4 linked regions of the Nothobranchius furzeri genome follow. The protein of the gene in region 1 purifies or fractionates together with the protein of each later gene. This does not show direct contact. Links are inferred from orthologs where the notes say so. Each region holds a gene or a part of one and is shown on either strand. Other genes may lie near its edges.

Region 1 (4,965 bases):
GACCTACTTTGGGACCTCCTTGATGTATCTGTCGTAGGCCAGCGTGTTCTTGCCGTAGCTGATCTGTTTCTGTCGTCGCAGCAGAACGGATTCATCAGTCTCCATGTTCTCACCCTCTCTGGAGTCACAGCTGCACAACAAACAGAACACACACCTTTACTCGCCTCCTCTCGTTGGCTGGAAGAACCTTCTACGAACAGGTGAGACTTCATGAGCTTATGGCTACTAGCAGGGTATGTGCAGGTTTAAGGGAGCCAATTTAAGACTTTTTAAGACCTTTTTTCAGGCCACTTTGACCAAATTTAAGCTATTTTTAAAATTAAATTTAAGCTATAATTTCCAGCTATTGCCTGGAACCGGTGCTAACCACGTCGTGAACGTGGGATTAGCCATCCATTTACCATTAAACTTGCACTTCCCCATGGCGCAAGCTCCCACTAGCTTAACCAGCTAATGTGCTCATCTAAAAATTGCCCCCTTTCCCAACCAACTGAATGTGTACGGTTCCGCTTATGCCAACATCGTACACAAAAAATGCTGAACACTAACTATAAATTCATGAAAATTTTTATAGAAATAAAATAATCTTGTTTATTGGGTCTTTGGTGATTTAAGACCTTTGGAAACTGGATTTAAGGATTATTTGTCATTTTTAAGGATTTTCAAGGCCGTAAATTTGGAAAAGCAAATTTAAGACTTTTTAAGGACCTGCGGATACCCTGACTAGAGACCACCTGGACTGCTGTTAAACAGAAGCATGGTGGTTACCTCCCAGAGGAGCCAGACGAGGCTCTCCTCTCCCTCTGAGTGACCTCTGGACCCAGTATCCTCCTCCTGTAACTGAAGAGTCGAGAACGTCAGCTCGGAGTTAACAGAAACCAGCTGGTGTTCAGCAGAAAGCTCGTCTTACCGCTGCATGTCTTTGTGCATGTCTCTCCTCATCTCCTCATCCTCCACCTGGCTGCCCCAGTCAGTCGGCCGACTACATCTCGACACTGGTCCAGAGCTCTCTGGGGTGGTGAAACTACAGAAGACACACACACACACCATTAAACCAGTGGCACCAATCAGAGATTTCACAAGAGCTGTGTCAGGAGGACCTGCGCCATGATCATACCTGGCATGTCTGCACCAGTCATCACCATCTTCATCACTGTTATTCCGCAAACTTCCATCAACTCCTCTTTTCCTACTGTGGGACCACCGGGATGGGCCGCTGCTCCTGGTACAAATATAAAAGAAGGCTAGAATATTACTAGTCAGTAGCGTTTAAGGGGACATCTGATGTAAGATGTTCTTTAAAGAGAGGTGCTGTTGATCAGTCGCAGGTTTCTGCTCCACTTCCTGTGGGCCTGCTGCAGAGCCCTTGTATCCAGAGCTCACAGCGTTGAGCGTTTCCATTCATAAAAATCAAAATGCTTATAGACCTGGGGACCGAAATGCGATTTCTTATAGTCGTAACGTCTGTGCAGCCACAGAGCTCCAGACTAAATGATATTTTGCTCTTACCTGTAAAAGAGTGGCCCAAGAGAGGCCTGAAACGGCTCATTCTGTAAGCTACTGCAAATGTCAAGAGACCAGGGCTAACTGCCAGAGGTGGAGCTGCAAGTGTCCTGCCCAAGGGCACAGCGGCAGATTGAGCAGGGCGCAAACCTGCAACTCTGCGGTTACAGGGTGAGCACCCTGTCCCTAAAGTGGACAGCTGTCTCAAACAAGACACTGTCTCTGGATGGGGTCTAACAAAGACAAATGGTGCCCACTGTGATGAGTACTTACAAGCAGCTGGTGTGTTCTGACCCTACATGTCGATGGTTCTGACCCAAAGGCTGGTAGCTCTAATCCCTGGACCAACCGGTCCTGGTTCGGGTTGGTACGACCCTTGCCCAGCCAGAAACGATCAGAGAATTGATCTAATGAGGAATAAACATAAAGCTGATCGGAGCGGGACTGCAGCACAGTTTAAAATAATCTCCCGCCATTTACTTCCTACTTCCGGTCGATCCATTGTGTGTTGGCGCGCGGTGGCGCGGAATTTTGGGTGAGCCACTAAAGTCCGACCCGACAAGGTTTAAACATCTTCCACTCGGTTCCCGGTGGGACGAGCCCGGGAAGAACATAAGGGTAGATGACCGTCTCTCCTGGTCTAACCGGGCTGATCAGAACCGAGCCAGAAACGGTGACACGTACAGATGTAACCCCCGTTCAAATATGTCCCCATGCAGCGGACTCTGGACTTTATTAAGTACACGTCCCGAGATTTTTATTCTTCAGAGACTTAATGTGACCACTCCAGAAGGAGAAATAATTCAAATCCACCCCGATTAGCTGAGGGGGGAAACGGCTTTCAACATGGAACAAAAGAGAGTGAGAACCCACAGAAAGCGAGAGGAGACAGCTCAAAGGTAACACTGACAACCAAACAGCCTCTGTCAGCAAAACGTTAGTCGTCTGACCAGTGAAACCAGGTGTTGCGTCGATGTGTTCCTCCTCGAGATGTTTCTTTTGCACCCAGCGGCGAGTGAGAACCATCCACTCGCAAAAAATGTGTCCTAAGCTACCCTAACCCTGAAACCAACATAAAAATTGTGCTACACGTAATATTTTCAAAAATTATATTTACGCAAACCATACATTTTTGGTGCCAGAGTGGTTATGGTTAGTGTTATTTCTTGTTATTGCGTCGTTTCCACTTGCAGCTGGGTGCAAAAGAAACTGATCGAGGGGGGAACACATATCGACGGCAGCAGGGAAAGCTAAACGCACTTACCTGCACTCCTCTTCTCCCACACGAGCTTCGCTCCGCTTCATCTTGTTCTTGTGAGACATCTTTTAGGGGTAAATGAACCAAACGCGACTCTGTTGGCTCACCTAAATCCGTGAATGTTGACGGTAGCGACAGAAAACCGCCAACTGAGACAGAAAGCGCGACCACAAACAAGCCAGCCAGTCACGTGACTCCTCCTCCTTCTTCTTTTCCCGGTTCTTCTTCCCGAACCCTACCGCCACCTTCTGGAATGAGCTGGTGGTGCAGCTCTTTATTTTTGACCAAAACTTGGATCAAAAACAGAATAAAAAGAGTAAAAATGCTCATAAAAAGAATAGAAGCGATGCTAAGAAATAAATGCCTAACATGAGAATTTCATTTTTGATGTTTTCATTTTTACATGTTATATAACAGTTTCTCAATGAGTATTTACAGTAAAAATAGATGATCGGGTGGATCTGACAGTGCGCGCAGGAATTGGAAATTGTGTCAAATGTGTGAATCAAAAAATCACGACATGGGTGAATGTCATTACAAGTGGAGTGGAACAGAAAGGGACTCCGTTTTGACAGTTTTTATGAATGTAAGCATATTCTTTAAACAAATACCTTCTTCTTAAAACTGGGAAACATAATGAAGTCAGTGTTCGTCATGAATTTAGTACATACCTGCACCCACTGAACTTACACCCCAAGGCCCTGTGTGTGTGTGTGTGTGTGTGGGGGGGGGGGTGATGTGATGTGATGGAGCAGGCAGAGGGAAATGTCTGAGGATGGGGAGGAAAGACTGGGGAGCCTGAGCCCTGCCCTGTCCTCCGCTGGCCCCACAAGGCACCCCATTCTCAAAGCCCACCTGGGGCCAGGAGACCCCAGCCCATCTAGCCAGGGCCCACAAAAGCTGCATCACAGAGCCCCACGGAGCCCCAGGTCCCAACTCAGCTCCACCCCCGCCTTTGATCAACTTCCAGACTACATAAAACATCAGAAACCCAGGCACAGTTGGATCCTTCCCCTCTCAGAGATCCCCTCCCCCACGATGGAGTAGAAGTGTTCCTGCTAGTTAAGGAGATACCATGTCCCAAGGGCCCCGGGCCAGGGCCAGACACTGCCACATGCACTCGCCCAGCCCGGTCCCCCATCCAGGTACGATCATCCCCAGGACCCAAGCCACCAGACCCTCATCCAGACCTACCCAGGAGAGACACGACTATCAGGCAGTGATGAAGTGCTCTCCAATCAACTCTTCCCTGTGAAGATAAGATCTTGGAAGGTTGAAGTTGGTTCCAATCAAGCTGCAGACTGGATCAGGGACCAAAAACCAACAGAAATTTAACTGTTCTGACCCTAACCCCAACCCTAGCACAGAGTCTCCATATTTGGACTGAACCTGGTCGAGTTTATTTAGGTGAATGACTTTAAGGCTAAATTATAAGTTTCGAATATTTAATTGTCTAAGGACAGAACCATTCAGATGCTTGTGAGAGAAGGAAGGTGATGTTTAAAAACAGGTTTGATCCCTAAGGCCTTGTTCCCTGAGCAAACTCCACATTAAACCTCTATTTAAAAATCATTACTGCTAATCATGTCAGTCCCTAATATAGAAACGGGTCATTCACGTGTGAAAGTGAGTCACTGAAGCCAAGCTCCCTGAAACAAAGACTTTTTCTGCCAACCCTCGGAATTATGGATTTAAAGGTTTTTCTATCGTCTCTCCCACACAACAGTCTGCAGTTTCTCACCAGTGTTATAAAAATGGTTTTTGACCTATTATAAAATACCCATTTCTTTTTTATGCAAGAGCAATTTATTTTAAATTCAGGTAAAAACTGTCTTTACTTCTGTAAAAACATCCGTTACTGTCAAACATCCTTTTATTTGTCTCGTTCTGACTTCGCTCTGCTTTCCCCTTTCTGATCATTTTAACACAACTCAGCCCACTTTTCTAACGTTTCCATAGCAACCAGGATGTGAGGATGAATGTATCTTCTTACTGTGTCAGGATGGACAGTCCTGACTTCTGCAGTCACTCTGATAGACAACCCTGCTCATCAGTGGTCTGCAGTACTGGTTATTGTTGTTTCATTACTGAATTCCCTAAAGTTACTAATGATAAAGTGTAATATTGATCTTTTACGTTACACAAGTTTGAGAATTATGGTGGTTACAAAAAGTAAAATGGTATGATTAGACTAAACCAGTCAT
Region 2 (5,004 bases), on another chromosome or scaffold:
CTTGCAAAACAGCAATTTGCCAAGATAAACAGCAGCGCTTGCGCAAGAGCGTAGGGCGAGCTGGAAACAGAGCAAGTAGCTCTAAAGTTTGGGTCCACTTCACTAAATGCGATGGGTGACTGGGTGATGATGACAATATTTTTTTCCATTTCCATTTTTTATTTCATTTCATGCAATCAAACAAAATTTACATTAAAACAATCCGCGTTCACAAATAATCATAAATGAAAAGGAGCAGAAAGAAGCAAAAACTTACAATATCTGCCCCCTTTACACATCAGACATTAGCTGTTCAACTCGAAGACTGTCATTCACCTACCCCCCACCACAAGTCTATCAGCCTACTTAAGATCTTATTATTTCATCAAGATACGTTTGACACTTTTTTTAAATACAGGAAATGTTTTAGATTGTTTTATTTCACTGTTGAGACTATTCCATAAACCGACACTTTAAACTGAAATACATATTTCCATTATCACTGTTCGGAATCTTGTTTTTTTTTTTAAACTATAATTTACTTTAAAAATATAATTACTTTATCGTTTTACAAATCTCTTTTGAATATTTATTGATAGGACTTCTTTATGTGCTTTGTACATAAGTTTCAATAAATGATATTCTACTAATTTGTCAAATTCCATTAGGTCTAGCTGTGAAAACATCGGATCCGTATGATCCCTACATCCACTTCCACTAATAACTCTCACTGCTCTATTGTGTAAATACAATACAATATGTCAGATATGGAAGAATTAACGAGTTACACAGAATATACAAAGCTTTTTTGTTCAACAATTCCTTCGTCTTATTTAGTACTGCAAAATTTCGAGATATTTTAATTTGAATAGCATTTATGTAAGACTTCCAGGACAAATGTTCGTCAATCATAACACCTAAAAACTTTCCTTCTCTTACTCTTTCTATCTCAATTCCTTCAACATATAATGATGCATCAGCACTGTTTTTGCTACTATAAAAAAACTATTGACTTAGTTTTATCAATGTTTACAGAAAGCCTATTGATATTAAACCATTTTTTGATTTTTGTAAACTCATTTTCAACTACATCTAACATAACGTTTGAATTTTCTACTGAATAAAATAATGTAGTGTCATCTGCAAATAGTATAAACCTGAATAATTTAGAAACCATAGCAATATCGTTAACGTACAAAAGAAAAAGTAATGGTCCTAGATGACATTGACAATGATCTAAGTGAGGAATCATTGTCTTAATCTGCTCCAATGGGTAAATAAACAGTTTACATTAACGTTAGCTTGATATTTTAGCATCCATTAATGAAAAATGAACAGTTTGAAAAAGAAAGATAAAATGAAGACACACAGTAAATTTAGTTAGTACTACAAGGACCCACCCATCACACAATTTGTCCATTGAGGAAAGAAGAGGAATGAGAGTACACGGAGCTGGGTTTTAGTTTGTGAAACATCACAATATTAAAATACAAACAGTTGTATGGTATAAAAGTTTGTTTTAATTTCATTTGTAGTCTATAATACCTGGTCTCCTCATCATAGTTATTCCAGATGGCATAAAAGAGGAGTAGGAGTACATGGAGCTGGGTATAATGTTTAGATCATTTAGAAACAGTTGTAGTTAAAGGTTTTCATTTTGAAAAATTTTGTACAACACTATGATGACAAAATACAAAAAGTTGCATGTTATATTTATCATGATAAAATATATCAAAAATAGTTATAAATTAAGGGAAAATATATATTAAAATAAAAAAGAGTTTTATTTAATTATTAAACACTCAAAAGTATCAGACATTGGTACCGGTATCGATTCCTAGGTATCGGGCATTGGTACCGTATTGATTCAAAAGTCAAATGAACCTATCCTACCCACCATGCCTTGACAGTTACAGGCCACTCGTAGCGTAATGGTGTGGGGGGTGATTTTCTTGACTCAGTTCAAACTCACCAAACTGGAAACAAATTAAAACAAGAGTTGTTTGGATAGAACATTTGCTTTTACTGTGTTGTAAATCATGAGTATGTACCTTATTTTCTAACTTACTCTTCTGGCTGAACCTGATTTACCAACTGAAAGACTTTTAGATTAAATTTAGCCTCAAGCTGAAGTTCCATTTTCACTTCATATTGAATAAAACTTACACACCAGACAGATTTTTAAAAGCATAACAGTTTTTGCTTTCAGAAGAATTTTATTTGTTCTGTTTAAACAAGTTAAGTACTGTTTGTGGAACAAATCTCATTCTAATGAGACAGCATGCAAACATTCCTTTAAATTAATAAAGTCCGTCTGATGTATCTTTTGTGCGTTCATTCTGTGTTTCTTCTAACCGCATTTAACAAAAAAGAAGGTAAAACAACCCTTCTCTGTGTTAAAAAAAGAACCAAGTCTGATGTAATGAGTCTCTGAACAGCAGAAATTCCAGGAATGTTGTGGATAAACTGAGCTTGAGTGGAATCTAAAGAACTAACTGACCAATACATATCCAACCAGATGATCTGCTCCACCTCTTATTTTGAATATCTGTCATGGATGCCTCCATGTCCTACAGTAGCAGCTGCGATCTCTTTGTTGTGAGAGTCAACAGCTGAGCGGAGGCAGTCTGCCGATCCGTAGCTAGCTCCGCTCCTTTACAGGACAGCTAACGAAGAAGACATAATTCCTGTTAAGTTGGTACAACCAAACGTGAGTGAAACTGAAATAGCACATCTCTCTGACGTGTGAGTGATCTTTACGTTAACCACAGGTTTGTTTAGAACGTTTAACCACACCCATTTGCTATGGGTTGTAGCCGAGCGCTGCTGCTTCCTGACAGGACGCCCGTGATCAAAACCACAACACAATAGTTGTCCCTTTAATTATACTAAAACCACATCTGGAGACACCTCCACGCACTGATGTGTCTGCTCGAGTATCACCGGTAACACAACGGTGACGCAAGCTCTGCGGCTAACCATCCGGCTAGCTTACGCTAGCCATTAAGTACAACAACAATTAACCACAGGCCATACATTTTGGACTCAAACCCCACTGAGTCAACAATGAAACACCAACAGGTGCACCACAACAGACAAAAGGGCAACAAACTCATCCACAAAAGCAGCGTGCGGTGAATGCAGCCCTTATAAAACAGTTGCAGCGGTTGGAAAACACCAGAAGAAATACCTCTTTAACCGACGTAAAATGGGATAAATCCTTACCCAAAGCGAGATTCTGACTTCCAGAGAAGCTGGGGTCACCCCCTGAGATCAAATCCGCCGTGTCATGGGTGCGTTTGTCAAAAACAAGCGGGGAAAGAGGATTAGCTGTGTGCTGGTAACTCCAACATCTCTCACGCAGTGAAAGGGGAATGCAGGAATGTGACGTTCAGTCCCGGTCTGCTGGCAGCGGTGACACGTGCAGCAAGACGCACGGCACTCTGGGAAATGTCGTCAAGCCAGACCTCCTTCGATTTTTACATGACTACAAGAGATCTACGGTGTCTTCGGTCGAGAGTGACTTTCAAAATAAAAGCGCACTTATAGGACATGTGTCTGGTCTGAACGTGCTGATGGACACTTTCTAAGTTTGTGTAAAATTGTGTCTTAAGATAAAACTGCGTTTTAAATGATTTTATCTATTAAAAAACACAAGACAGAAAACAATGAAAACATTTTTTTATTTGTGTGCAAGCTAAAACTGCGTTTAAAATTATTTTATCTATTAAAAAAACACTTTTAAGACTGAAAACGATTAAAAACTTTTCTTTTGTAAAATTGTGTGCAAGATAAAACTGCGTTTGAAATGATTTTATTTATTTTAAAAACTTTAAATTAAAAGAATAAACAGGAGTTAATCGTTTTTTTTTTTTGTAAAAATGAGTGCAATATAACACAGCGTTTTAAATGATATGATCTATTAAAAAGACCTTTAATTAAAAGAATGAACACGATTTAACCCTTTTTTGTGTAAAATTGTGTGCAACATAAACTGCATTTTTTATGATTTTAGTTATTTAAAAATACTTTAAATTAAAAGAACACATTTGTGTAGGTTACTTTGCTATTCTTATACATCCCGTCCCATTCATCCTGATCTGATGTGGCATTTCTAAATAGTTTCACTATATTCAATGGTTTCTTTCTCAAAGTCTGTCTGATTCCACAACATCATTCCACTTCAGTATTACAGAACACATCAAGTACTAGATAGATATAAAAACTATTTTGACTATATTCATTGGTTAATTTCTTTAAAAAAATGTTCGATTCTGCAATATTATTTCACCTCAGTCTTAAAGTACACATCAGGTACTACATCCTCCCTAAGGTTCATGAAGATCTTATGTGGCATTTTAAAATAAAGTGCAATCAGATTTGACCATAAAAGCAATTTAGACTAAATTCAATGGTAAATTTCTCAAAAACTGTCTGATTCCGCAACATCATTCGACCACACTCTTAAAGTATACAACAAGTACTAAATCTTCTCCGAATTTCAAAAAGATATGATGTGGCATTTCAAAATAAAGTGCAGTTAAATTTTGCCAAAACAAATAAACAATTTCAACAATTCAATGGTTAGTTTGTCAAAAACTGTCTGTTTCTGCAACATCATTCCACCTCAGTCATAAAGTACACTTCGAGTACTACATCCTCCCCAAAGTTAAAAAAGATCTGATGTGGCATTTCAAAATAAAGTGCAATCAAATTTGGCTATAAAAACAATTTTGATTATATTCAATGGTGAATTTTTTTTAAATGTCTGATTCCACAACATCATTCCACCTCAGTCTTAACGTACACATCAAGTACTACATCCTCCCCAAAGATCATGAAGATCTGATGTGGCATTTTAAAATAAAGTGTCACATTAGACCAAAAATATTTCCCTTCAGTCTGATGTCGATGGTCTGACCTGACACCCCTTCTGTGAACGTAGGACCTCTTGTGGACAAAAGTGGAACTGCAGAACGTATGCGATTCTCTTCTACCTTCTTTTATGACCAAGCAACATTTCCA
Region 3 (4,678 bases), on another chromosome or scaffold:
GTCCCTGCTTATTTTAAGAATGCTGTAATCCACCCGCTTCTTAAAAAACAAGTCTTGACCCTTTTAGTACTTTGCTGTTTTTCATTTTTACTTGTTTGTTTAATTGGTTATTTGCATTTTTAACTTAACGAGGAGTGTTTTAACAAGTATTATGCAATAGCTGTTAAAGTGACCTTGAGAGTCCTGAAAGGCGCTAACGAATAAAATGTATTATTTTTCTCTCCATAGCAGCTTCAGACCCATCTCTAAACTTCTGTTCATCTCCAAGATCTTGGAAAAGGTTGTGGCTAAACAACTAACAGCTGATCTTGAACATAACATCTATGATAGTTTCCAGTCAGGTTTTCGTAGAACTCATTCCACTGAAAAAGCTCTTCTTAGGGTCTCCAATGACCTTCTGATTCACAGTGATGCTGGGGACTGTTCTGCTCTGGTCCTGCTGGACCTGACTGCAGCCTTTGACACTGTTGACCATCACCTGCTTGCTACTGGAGAGGCTGAGAGACTGCATAGGCCTGTCAGGAACTGAGTGTAGTGGTTCTACTCTCATCTGTCTGAGCGTTCTTTCTCTGTGGTCATCTGCAAGTTTTGGTCCAACACCTCCCTCATCGATGGCATCCCACAAGGTTCTGTGCTGGGGCCTCTACTGTTCATTCTCTTTCTGCTTCCTCTTCAGCACATCCTGAGCTCCTTTAATGAAATCTCCTACCATCTTTACACAGATGACATCCAACTGTACATCTCCTTTAAGCCCCATGAGATGTCTAAGCTGTTACACACCTGCTTACACTATCAAAACCTGGATGGCTGGAAACTTTCTAAAGCTGAATGTAGATAAGACTGAGATCCTCATCTGTGCTCCAGACAAGCTGGTTCCCAAAGTCAGAGACTCTCTTGGTCAGCTTGCTTCTCACACCAAACCCTCTGTCAGGAATCATGGTGTGACCTTTGACCCAGCTCTCACCCTGGATTCTCATGTCAGTTCTCTCTTTTCTACTTCTGATGATGGTGATGACTTCCTAAAAAGGCTCATTGTAAAGTTACAAATTAGTGGTAAAACTTAAGTCTCTAGTTGAACAGAACTGATGAATACTATCAACATCTACCTAAGTGCCCCTGGACTGAACTGAATCAAATTTATCTCAGTTTGAGATTAGGGCATATTTTAAGGTTTTGTAGTAGTTGTGTATAGTTTCAAAGCTCTCTGAAAACCTAAAACTAACACTAAAATCATTTTGTGTCCCAAATATTGAAGAATTAATTGAGAAATGTATATTGATTTGAAATCAGTAAAAAGAAAAACAGAGTGAGCCCTCTTTCCTTTTGACCCATCTGTGCCGTCCAGCCCCTCCCAGTGGCGTCACGCGTCGCGCGGCGCAGGGAAGTCCGTCACCGCTGCTGGCTGTTGGACCTGCAGTAGCTTTTGATCGGTTCCATTTTTTTGTTTGAGTTGACATTTGTTGTCTCTGCGACGCGCTCAAGAATATACATCGACAAAATAAATTCTGTGGATCTTGGTCGTCTTTGTACAGCATCGGAAATCGTTGAGTAAAACGAAAGAAAAGAGTCGAAGATGAGTGTGGAGGCGTACGGGCCGAGCTCCCAGACCCTCACCTTCCTGGACACCGAGGAAGCCGAGCTCATCGGAGCCGACACACAGGGCTCCGAGTATGACTTCACCGACTTCACGCTTCCTAGCCAGACCCAAACTCAAGGCCAAACGCAGAGCCAGCTGGACAGCCAGGTTAGACGCTTTTCAATCTTTCCAGTATGCACGGTAATGGTGTTAGCAGCAGTTAGCTTCCAGTTAGCCCGCTTTTATTAAATTTAGCCCGACTTAGCTTCGTGTTAGCTGGTTTTAGGACATCGTTAAATAAACAGTTAAAGCCACTAGTAATCTCAACACATTTCTTTCGAACCCTACATTCAAACCAGACTCTGCGATTCACAAAAACGGGATTTGTAAACAGTAGCATTCTGTCAACATGTCGCTAACTGGCTTTTCCGCACTGTGTGCCTTAGCCGTTAGCTGCTGTTCGTTAGCATCGAGTGTGTTTTGGTTAAGACTGTTTTTGCGCTGCAGGTGAATGGTCCAGATGAAGGTCTTCATAACGGAGGGGTTGATGACTCTGTGGCCAAAACCAGCCAGTTGTTGGGAGAGCTGAACTTTGAAGAGGATGAAGAAGACACTTATTACACCAAAGACCTTCCTGTACACGCATGCAGGTACTGTGACAGAATGCATCACAGAAAGCCACACGTGCATCTCAAGTGCAGCATTTTCCTAAGTGTGTTTTTATTTCTTCTGTAGTAACCTTTAACTTTGTTTACGGTGCTGTTAAAATAATTTTTGTCTGTTTTTTTACAGGATTAAGCGTTTGGTTAAACACTGAAAAACAACAAAACAATTTCAAATACTATTATAAATCTATGATCAGTGCATGTAAAGAGTTAAAAAATAAACAACAACAAAATTCACAGCCATTTTATTAGGTGTCAGATCATATTTAAAGTTATTTTCAGACTCCTGTTTTGCTTGTAATCGATCAGCAATACATTTCCTTTAAGTTAATTTGTGTTATAAAACACTAACATAAAAACGGAAAATCAAATCACTTTTATTGTCACGTCACATGTGCAGGTACACTTGTACAGTTCATGAGAGTGAAATTCTCGTGTGCGAGCTTCACAGCAACAGAGTTGTACAAAAATACCATAACGTAAAAACAAGCAAAATATAAAAATGGCTAATCTAAGTAATAATATGTATAGTATGTAAGGTATATACATTACTAAATGTGTGTGCTAGTATCTTTTTTTCTACGTGTGTGAGTGTGTGTATAATGTGTATATACATGTTTTACAAATGAACAAAGTAAACAATAAGATAAGAGATATAAAATATACAGTGGTTGGTATGTGCAAAACTGTGGCATTAATGTACAGTATGGAGTGTGTAAAATGGAAACATGCTTGTGTTAAAAAAAGATGCTTAACTGTTGCTGACTTTTTTTAAATTATACAGACATTTTTATAAATATATCTAAAACCTTTCTGGTTTCAACGTGTGATTACTCATGTTTCTAAGAAAAGAGCAAGGAAAGTTAAGTTTACTAGTGAATCTATTAAATTATTCTATATTTTCTATTTTCCAACTTCTGATGCGTTATATGTTCTAATCACTGAAATATTTGAAATGCCATTTGATTTTGCAGCTATTGTGGTATCCATGACCCAGCCTGTGTTGTGTACTGTAACACCAGCAAGAAGTGGTTCTGTAATGGCCGTGGCAACACATCTGGAAGGTTTATAATTTGGCAGTTATAATTTTTTTAAACTTTTTTGATTATGGTTACCCGTTGTTTCATTGTACATTTATGACTTCCAGCCACATTGTGAACCACATGGTGAGGGCCAAATGCAAAGAGGTTACGCTGCATAAAGATGGACCTCTGGGTGAAACCGTGCTGGAGTGTTACAATTGTGGCTGCCGCAATGTTTTCCTCTTGGGCTTTATCCCAGCCAAAGCTGACTCCGTGGTGGTGCTACTCTGCAGGTAAGTGGATGGAAGGTGTTTGTCAATCCTAGCTGGTTGTTGTATAGCAAAAAAGTCAAAGTTTTTCCTGCTAAAGTTGTACTGTACTAAACATTTGAGAGTATATTTATTAGGAATGGTCTGATTGATTGGTAACTGATCAAATTGTTTCAATCTCCATGAAAAACATGTGATCTGCAAATTCCGATCAATGCCTCTCAGAGCCAATCATACCAAACAATCACCTGTTGCTCATACTTTGTAGCCGACAGAGACCTTGTGTGCGGCATTATGTGTTTCTCCCCCCTTCCTTCACACTGTGCATGCATGCAGTAGCAAAAGTGTACACAAACATTTCTACTGAACTTTTAGTCCATCTGTGAGAAGGATGTAAACCTGCGGGGGTAGTAGCTCGTTAAAATGCATCAATCCAGCAAATTTGAAAGAACAAACTCTGGGCAAAGTGAGCTGAGTTTTCATTACTCCCTGCAGAAATAAAAAGACACTCAGAGCAACAGACATAACTGCATTCACCAAAACTCGTCTGTATGAGAGTGACCGTCAGAAGGTTGAACAACTAACTTGGAAAAATATAAGAAGAAACAGGGCTTTTCCTGGCTCAAATTGAGGCAGAGCTGGTACCATCCTGACCATGTGCCAGCACATGCATACTCTGTGCATTCAACTGCCTCACTTTTTTAAAGGCAAAATATTTTTTCATTAAGTGTTCTTATCTAAGCTTCTATTGATTAATTGAATATTCCATTTGACAATGTTTCAAGTGAAACAAAACTGGTTTGCTGCTAAAAAATATGAAATAAAACAACAAAATTATCAGGCTGAAATAACAGACTTTTATTATGAAAGGCTCAATAATATGCATTAGATTGGTGTTTAGTTCCCTTTTCCCCGTCTGATATTTATAGTTAAAAATATTTTTAAATATTTGATCTACATTTCAGTAACATTTTAGGTTTGTGTTAATAACACTCATCTTATTATAAAAACACAAATATATCCAGTAAAATATTATGCATTTCATTAACATGCATTTGTATTGGAAATGGTAATAACATTTAATTTCTGCTGCTAACAATGTAATGGTGGCATGTCTATTATGTACGGGTTGGCAATAATCCAGTT
Region 4 (4,835 bases), on another chromosome or scaffold:
ACCAGTGTTGGAGAGAGGCCTCGGTAAAGCGTAACAATTCCCTCGGAGCGCCAAATCGTGGAAACAGCATGACGGAGGTTCCTGTAAACCTAAATAAAACAAATTTTAAATTCCTCTACAAATAAATCATTTAATTTAAATTATGTGTGGATGTTTATTTTTCTTTTGGTTGTGTTATCACATAAAACTTTGGAATTAAGTTGGTGGATGGTTTAAATGAAGACAGTAAAATATGGCTGTCCCACCTTGGGTTCTCCCTGAGCAGCGAAGCGTGTCCTCAGCGTGTCCAGAGGCTGGCAGGCCACCGCGGCCGAGCAGGCTGCCAAACCGCCACAGACAAAGTGAACTCCTGGTGTCTGGCTGTCGTAGATTGTCGATTTGTGAACAACTTCAGTCAGAAACTCAAAACTAACAAACTGCAAATCACAAAAAAACAGTTATTTCAGGGATGAGCCATTAGGAGGGCTTATTTGACTGTCTCAACATGCAGATTTTCATTCCACAAGCTGTACCTGGACAGCACCGTAGCAGATGGAGAGGAGCTGGGCTGGAACGTGGCCTTTCCAGAAAGCAGAAAGCCCTTCTTCTGTGTAAACGCTGCGTGAGGCCTGAAGGATTCCACAGTACTTTCCCTCAGGTCTACGTGACGACACACGCTCGATCTGCAGCTGTGGGAGGAAACACACTCGACTTATGCAACTAACTTTGTAGATTTCCATCCACACTGTTATTAAATGATTCCTTATGCATCGTTTTGTTGGACTTACATACCTTAACCATTCTTATTATAAGTCTAATTTTCAAAGTGAGCATAATCTGTTAATAGTTGGATCCAGCTCATCCAACACAAAAAATTCACACAGATTAATACCTGGAATCTTATTTTGATGACATCAAAAGGACTGATAATGGCTCTGGTGGCCAGCCCAGCAGCTGAACCAGCGATAGCTGCCTCCCAATGGGTAGGAGCTGCATTCTGCGCCCTGGGATCATAACCCACCATCTCACCACAACACTCCTATCAACACTGAAGACACAAACAAAAGTTCCATTTTTGACTAATTTTATTTTTTAAATATCCTGTGGTTTTTAAAATGTCACAGTTATCTGCAAACAATATCTCTCAATGTATTCATTTAACACAACGCTTTAATCAAAGTTTGCACCATGTCTGCGGACAAGTAGGGAGAAGAATTGTGCTAAGCTAAGCTAACAACACAACATCTGTTCCTTCGTTGTTGTAGCGACAACAACACGCTGACAGATGTTTACCTTTTACTAAAGAGCTGTCTTCATGAATATAACTTCCATTTCTATTTCTGTCTTCAACAAATTTCTCTACGATAAATCCATCAGCTTCAGATCTCAGCGTAACCCTGAACGCAACGTACTAACCACTTCCGCCGGTTCACTCAGCGCATGCTCCGTCTGTCAAAGATTAAATATTGGGAAAGATGAGTCACTGCCTTACAACAAACCGGAATCGAATTGTCCAGTATGTACAGTCTATGCAACAAACCTACAACCGGTCTACCACCGCCCTGTCACCATTACCTATCTCTAACCCTCATTCGTACACACTATTCTTTTTACAGAATTTACAGGTGATATTTTAAACCACTCAAATATTGGTGATACCGTGAAAATCTGTTAGGATAGTTTCATTAGTCCCGGTTGTGTTTTATGTGGTAACAGGAAATGCAGGTTAACTTATCTTTGTGTTTACATTTATTCTTTGAATGGTTCAGACGGAAGTAGCTTGACTAGTGGTATGATTTTGAATAGGTAAAGTTTCTCACATATTCTTGCATTCCATGCTTATTAACTGATGTGTGTTTTCTACCTGTTTGATTTTATTTATTTATTTTTTTTACATTTAATCGCTTTTATTGTTTTGGCGGGAGGTATTCCCTAACGGAAGCAGCTCGCGAACCACACGAGCTAGCACAGTGTTAATAAGTTAAATGTTGTTTTGATTTGGCATCCGCCTGTTTTTCGTTATAAACCCAGTAATAAACAGCGCCCATGCATAGCATTGCATTGTTTCGGTCCGAATGCGTGACTTGTATGTGGCTAGCAAGTTTAATTTTATCATGGCATAATGAAAGCACACTTTTGAGTGATAGGTGGTGTTTGTTGACCTGAGCTAGCCCAAATCCCCTCAATCCCGCAGTCAAAGAGCTGTAGGGAGCAGCCAGTCTGATGACTCCGCGGTTTCAGTTCTGTTTAAAAGACTCGTCGTGTCTGATAAAAGACTTGCTACATGTTGTTCTTCTGAAAAGCACAGTGAACATGGATGATCTTTCCTTCACAGCGTGACATCTCCCAGGTGTAACTTGTTCTTCACCATCTGACATGGAAAACTCCACCGATGACTACAAAATCCAGTCTTTTGACTTGGAAACGCAGACATTACTGAAAACTGCCTTGAAAGGTCAGAATTTTCTTTAAACTTTTGTGTAAATTATTCAAACTGTATAATTCGTTTTCAGTTCCTTCATTTAAATGTTGTTAAAAATGAACGTATATATTACAAAAGCCATTTTCTTGCCCTCAGATCCAAGTTCGGTGAACCTGGAGAAGGTCTCAAATGTCATCGTAGAGCAGTCTCTAAAGGATTGTGTGTTCAGCAAAGAGGCCGGACGTATTTGTTACACTATTGTGCAGGTCAGTCAGTGGTTGTGGTGCTTTTGTTCTGAGTCCTCTGCCTGCTCACCACCCTCCTGTTTAGTCCTGATTCTCCCTGTTTGCCCAGGCTGAGGCCAAACAAAGCAGCGGAAATGTGTTTAGGAGGCTCCTGTTGAACCGACTACAGCAAGAGTTTAAAGTACGTGAAGAAACAAGAACACGCTCTCTGCAGGAGTGGGTGTGCTACGTCACCTTCATCTGTAACATCTTTGACTACCTCAAGGTAAGAGACAGAGACAAATTGAAGTTTTGTCCATGATATGAAGATATTTTAAATATATGAATTGTTAAATTACTCTGGATCATTTCTGCAAAAGTACTTTTCTTCGTAAGTAAAGCCTTTAATATATTGTTTATTGCTGTAGTAACCAAGAAGAAGGTTGTATTAATTTGAGACCTGGATTTCTTGCTGTAAGTTAGAACTTTGAACGAAACTCCCAGCCAGCAGAAGGCCTAATAAGACACTGTATTGTTTCAGTTTCACTTCCAGATTCATAACTGGCTATAACACATTACTGCGCACATAGGTCAATCAAACCAGAGCATTTAGTACAGATTTTGACCTGTGTCAGACTTAAACCACATGATGGCAATATTTGTCTGACATCAAGGTGGATCTCAATGACAGACATTAAAGTGACAATGTGTAATTTTTACCATTAATCTCTGGAAATACCCATTGAAATGTTGTAAATTAATTAAAAGATACCAAGTTGTTGAAAAATATTGACAGTTTCATAGCATTTAACCATAAAAATCAGGTCTAAAATACACGGGAGTGGGTCTAAATCTCTAGGCGACGCCATATTGGATGCCATGTTTCCTTCTACGGAAGCCCGTGAGGACAGAGTGTATTTACTGATTTGTAACAAATGGTTACTAAACTTTCAGCATTAATAAACTTTGTTGTTTTACACATTTACCTCTTCACTTGTTGCCAGGGATGAAAGGGAATCTGATGTTCTTGTTCAGGGTATCCGCGGGTCTTGGAAAGTCTTGAAAAGTCTTGAATTTAATTTAGGCAAATTAAGACCCTTAAAAAGTCTTAAATTCATTAAGTGAAGTCTTAAATTCGGTGAGTATTGATGTGTATTTAAAATAAGTCTGTATATTAAAAATAAACGTGACAAGGTAATAAAATAAACCAATTTTTAGGTCTCTGCCAGCCGTTTTCGTGCATTTCCGTTCCACGTGACTTTGGCCACCGTGTATGTGACGTATTTCGCCAATTCAAGGAGAAGATGGTGGAAGCAAAATGGGGAAGCAGCCCCGGCGTCAGGGGGTCAATTTGAGGGGCATTGCCCCCCCCCCCCCCCACCCGTACCTCCATGCCCCCCCATTGGCTATCAGAGCGGTAATGTTATTATAATTTAATTATTTTTTTCAGTTAATTTTTTTTGGGGAGGAGTCACAGATTGTATGAATTCATATTCAGCTAAGGGAAACCAATAAAATTCAAAATACAAAATAAATATTTTAAGAGACGTCTCGGCTTGTGTCATGTGATGCATGCGTGCGTGGTGCCGCAAGTAACGCACCGACGTCTGTTTACGCTAGGAAACGGATATCACGGTAAACGAATATCACGGTAAACGAATTTAACGACACAAACGATGGATATAAGGAAATTCTTCCAATCACCACCAACTACAAGGTAAAACTGAAACTGCACGAGCGACAGCTTAGCAGGAGTGTCATATTGCCGCAGCAGAGAAGAAGTTAGGTGAGCAGCCGAAGCTAACTAGCCGTAGCAAGACTGAGGCACAGCTTCCCCCAGTGGAGCCGGAGCATGAAGATTTTAGCGCTAATCCCAGCTGCAGTGGGCTCTCCCAAACCCGCTCTCCCAAACTTTTCTACTTTAAAAAGTGTTCTCACAGACAACAGACTTAGCATGCTACACCAACGAAATGCACATTTAGTGCAGCTGGCCTATGAAAGAAACTTAACTAAAAGATTTGTCACTGAATGGAAGGAAGCAGTAATGAGGAGTTTCAATTCCGGGAGGCGCCGACTGCAGCTCTTCTAAGTGGTGAGTAAAGAAGATATTTATTTAAAGGGGGTGTAATATTGTGATTGCTGTTGGTTGTACAAAAGTTTTTTTATGCGCATATGAGCTGAAATATGAGCTTCTCCTGATAATAATAGAC

Evidence for each region.
Region 2: the proteins of slbp (region 1) and ctif purify together in Homo sapiens (affinity purification with western blotting; 3 studies listed by BioGRID). This does not show direct contact. The link is inferred for Nothobranchius furzeri from reciprocal best matches to the Homo sapiens genes SLBP and CTIF.
Region 3: the proteins of slbp (region 1) and upf1 purify together in Homo sapiens (affinity purification with western blotting; 4 studies listed by BioGRID and IntAct, with this or other methods). This does not show direct contact. The link is inferred for Nothobranchius furzeri from reciprocal best matches to the Homo sapiens genes SLBP and UPF1.
Region 4: the proteins of slbp (region 1) and mif4gdb purify together in Homo sapiens (affinity purification with western blotting; 3 studies listed by BioGRID and IntAct, with this or other methods). This does not show direct contact. The link is inferred for Nothobranchius furzeri from reciprocal best matches to the Homo sapiens genes SLBP and MIF4GD.

What each region holds. Positions count from the first base shown.
Region 1 is NC_091741.1:108,902,858-108,907,822, reverse strand, and holds the start of slbp (histone RNA hairpin-binding protein), read right to left. Parts: upstream 2,964-4,965; 5' UTR 2,827-2,963; coding exon 2,768-2,826; intron 1,223-2,767; coding exon 1,118-1,222; intron 1,025-1,117; coding exon 911-1,024; intron 841-910; coding exon 769-840; intron 131-768; coding exon 8-130; intron 1-7. UniProt on the Homo sapiens protein: RNA-binding protein involved in the histone pre-mRNA processing.
Region 2 is NC_091746.1:58,107,265-58,112,268, reverse strand, and holds the start of ctif (CBP80/20-dependent translation initiation factor), read right to left. Parts: upstream 3,332-5,004; 5' UTR 3,205-3,331; intron 1,956-3,204; 5' UTR 1,880-1,955; coding exon 1,877-1,879; intron 1-1,876. UniProt on the Homo sapiens protein: Specifically required for the pioneer round of mRNA translation mediated by the cap-binding complex (CBC), that takes place during or right after mRNA export via the nuclear pore complex (NPC).
Region 3 is NC_091748.1:65,883,095-65,887,772, forward strand, and holds the start of upf1 (regulator of nonsense transcripts 1), read left to right. Parts: upstream 1-1,347; 5' UTR 1,348-1,573; coding exon 1,574-1,744; intron 1,745-2,083; coding exon 2,084-2,226; intron 2,227-3,215; coding exon 3,216-3,305; intron 3,306-3,388; coding exon 3,389-3,556; intron 3,557-4,678. UniProt on the Homo sapiens protein: RNA-dependent helicase required for nonsense-mediated decay (NMD) of aberrant mRNAs containing premature stop codons and modulates the expression level of normal mRNAs.
Region 4 is NC_091752.1:54,309,925-54,314,759, reverse strand, and holds the start of mif4gdb (MIF4G domain-containing protein B), read left to right. Parts: upstream 1-1,504; 5' UTR 1,505-1,604; intron 1,605-1,694; exon of another isoform or gene 1,695-1,785; intron 1,786-1,793; exon of another isoform or gene 1,794-1,830; intron 1,831-2,314; 5' UTR 2,315-2,355; coding exon 2,356-2,434; intron 2,435-2,557; coding exon 2,558-2,667; intron 2,668-2,755; coding exon 2,756-2,911; intron 2,912-4,835. Other genes in the region: slc25a19 (mitochondrial thiamine pyrophosphate carrier), read right to left, coding at 1-89, 246-416, 513-668, 872-1,003. UniProt on the Homo sapiens protein: Functions in replication-dependent translation of histone mRNAs which differ from other eukaryotic mRNAs in that they do not end with a poly-A tail but a stem-loop. May participate in circularizing those mRNAs specifically enhancing their translation.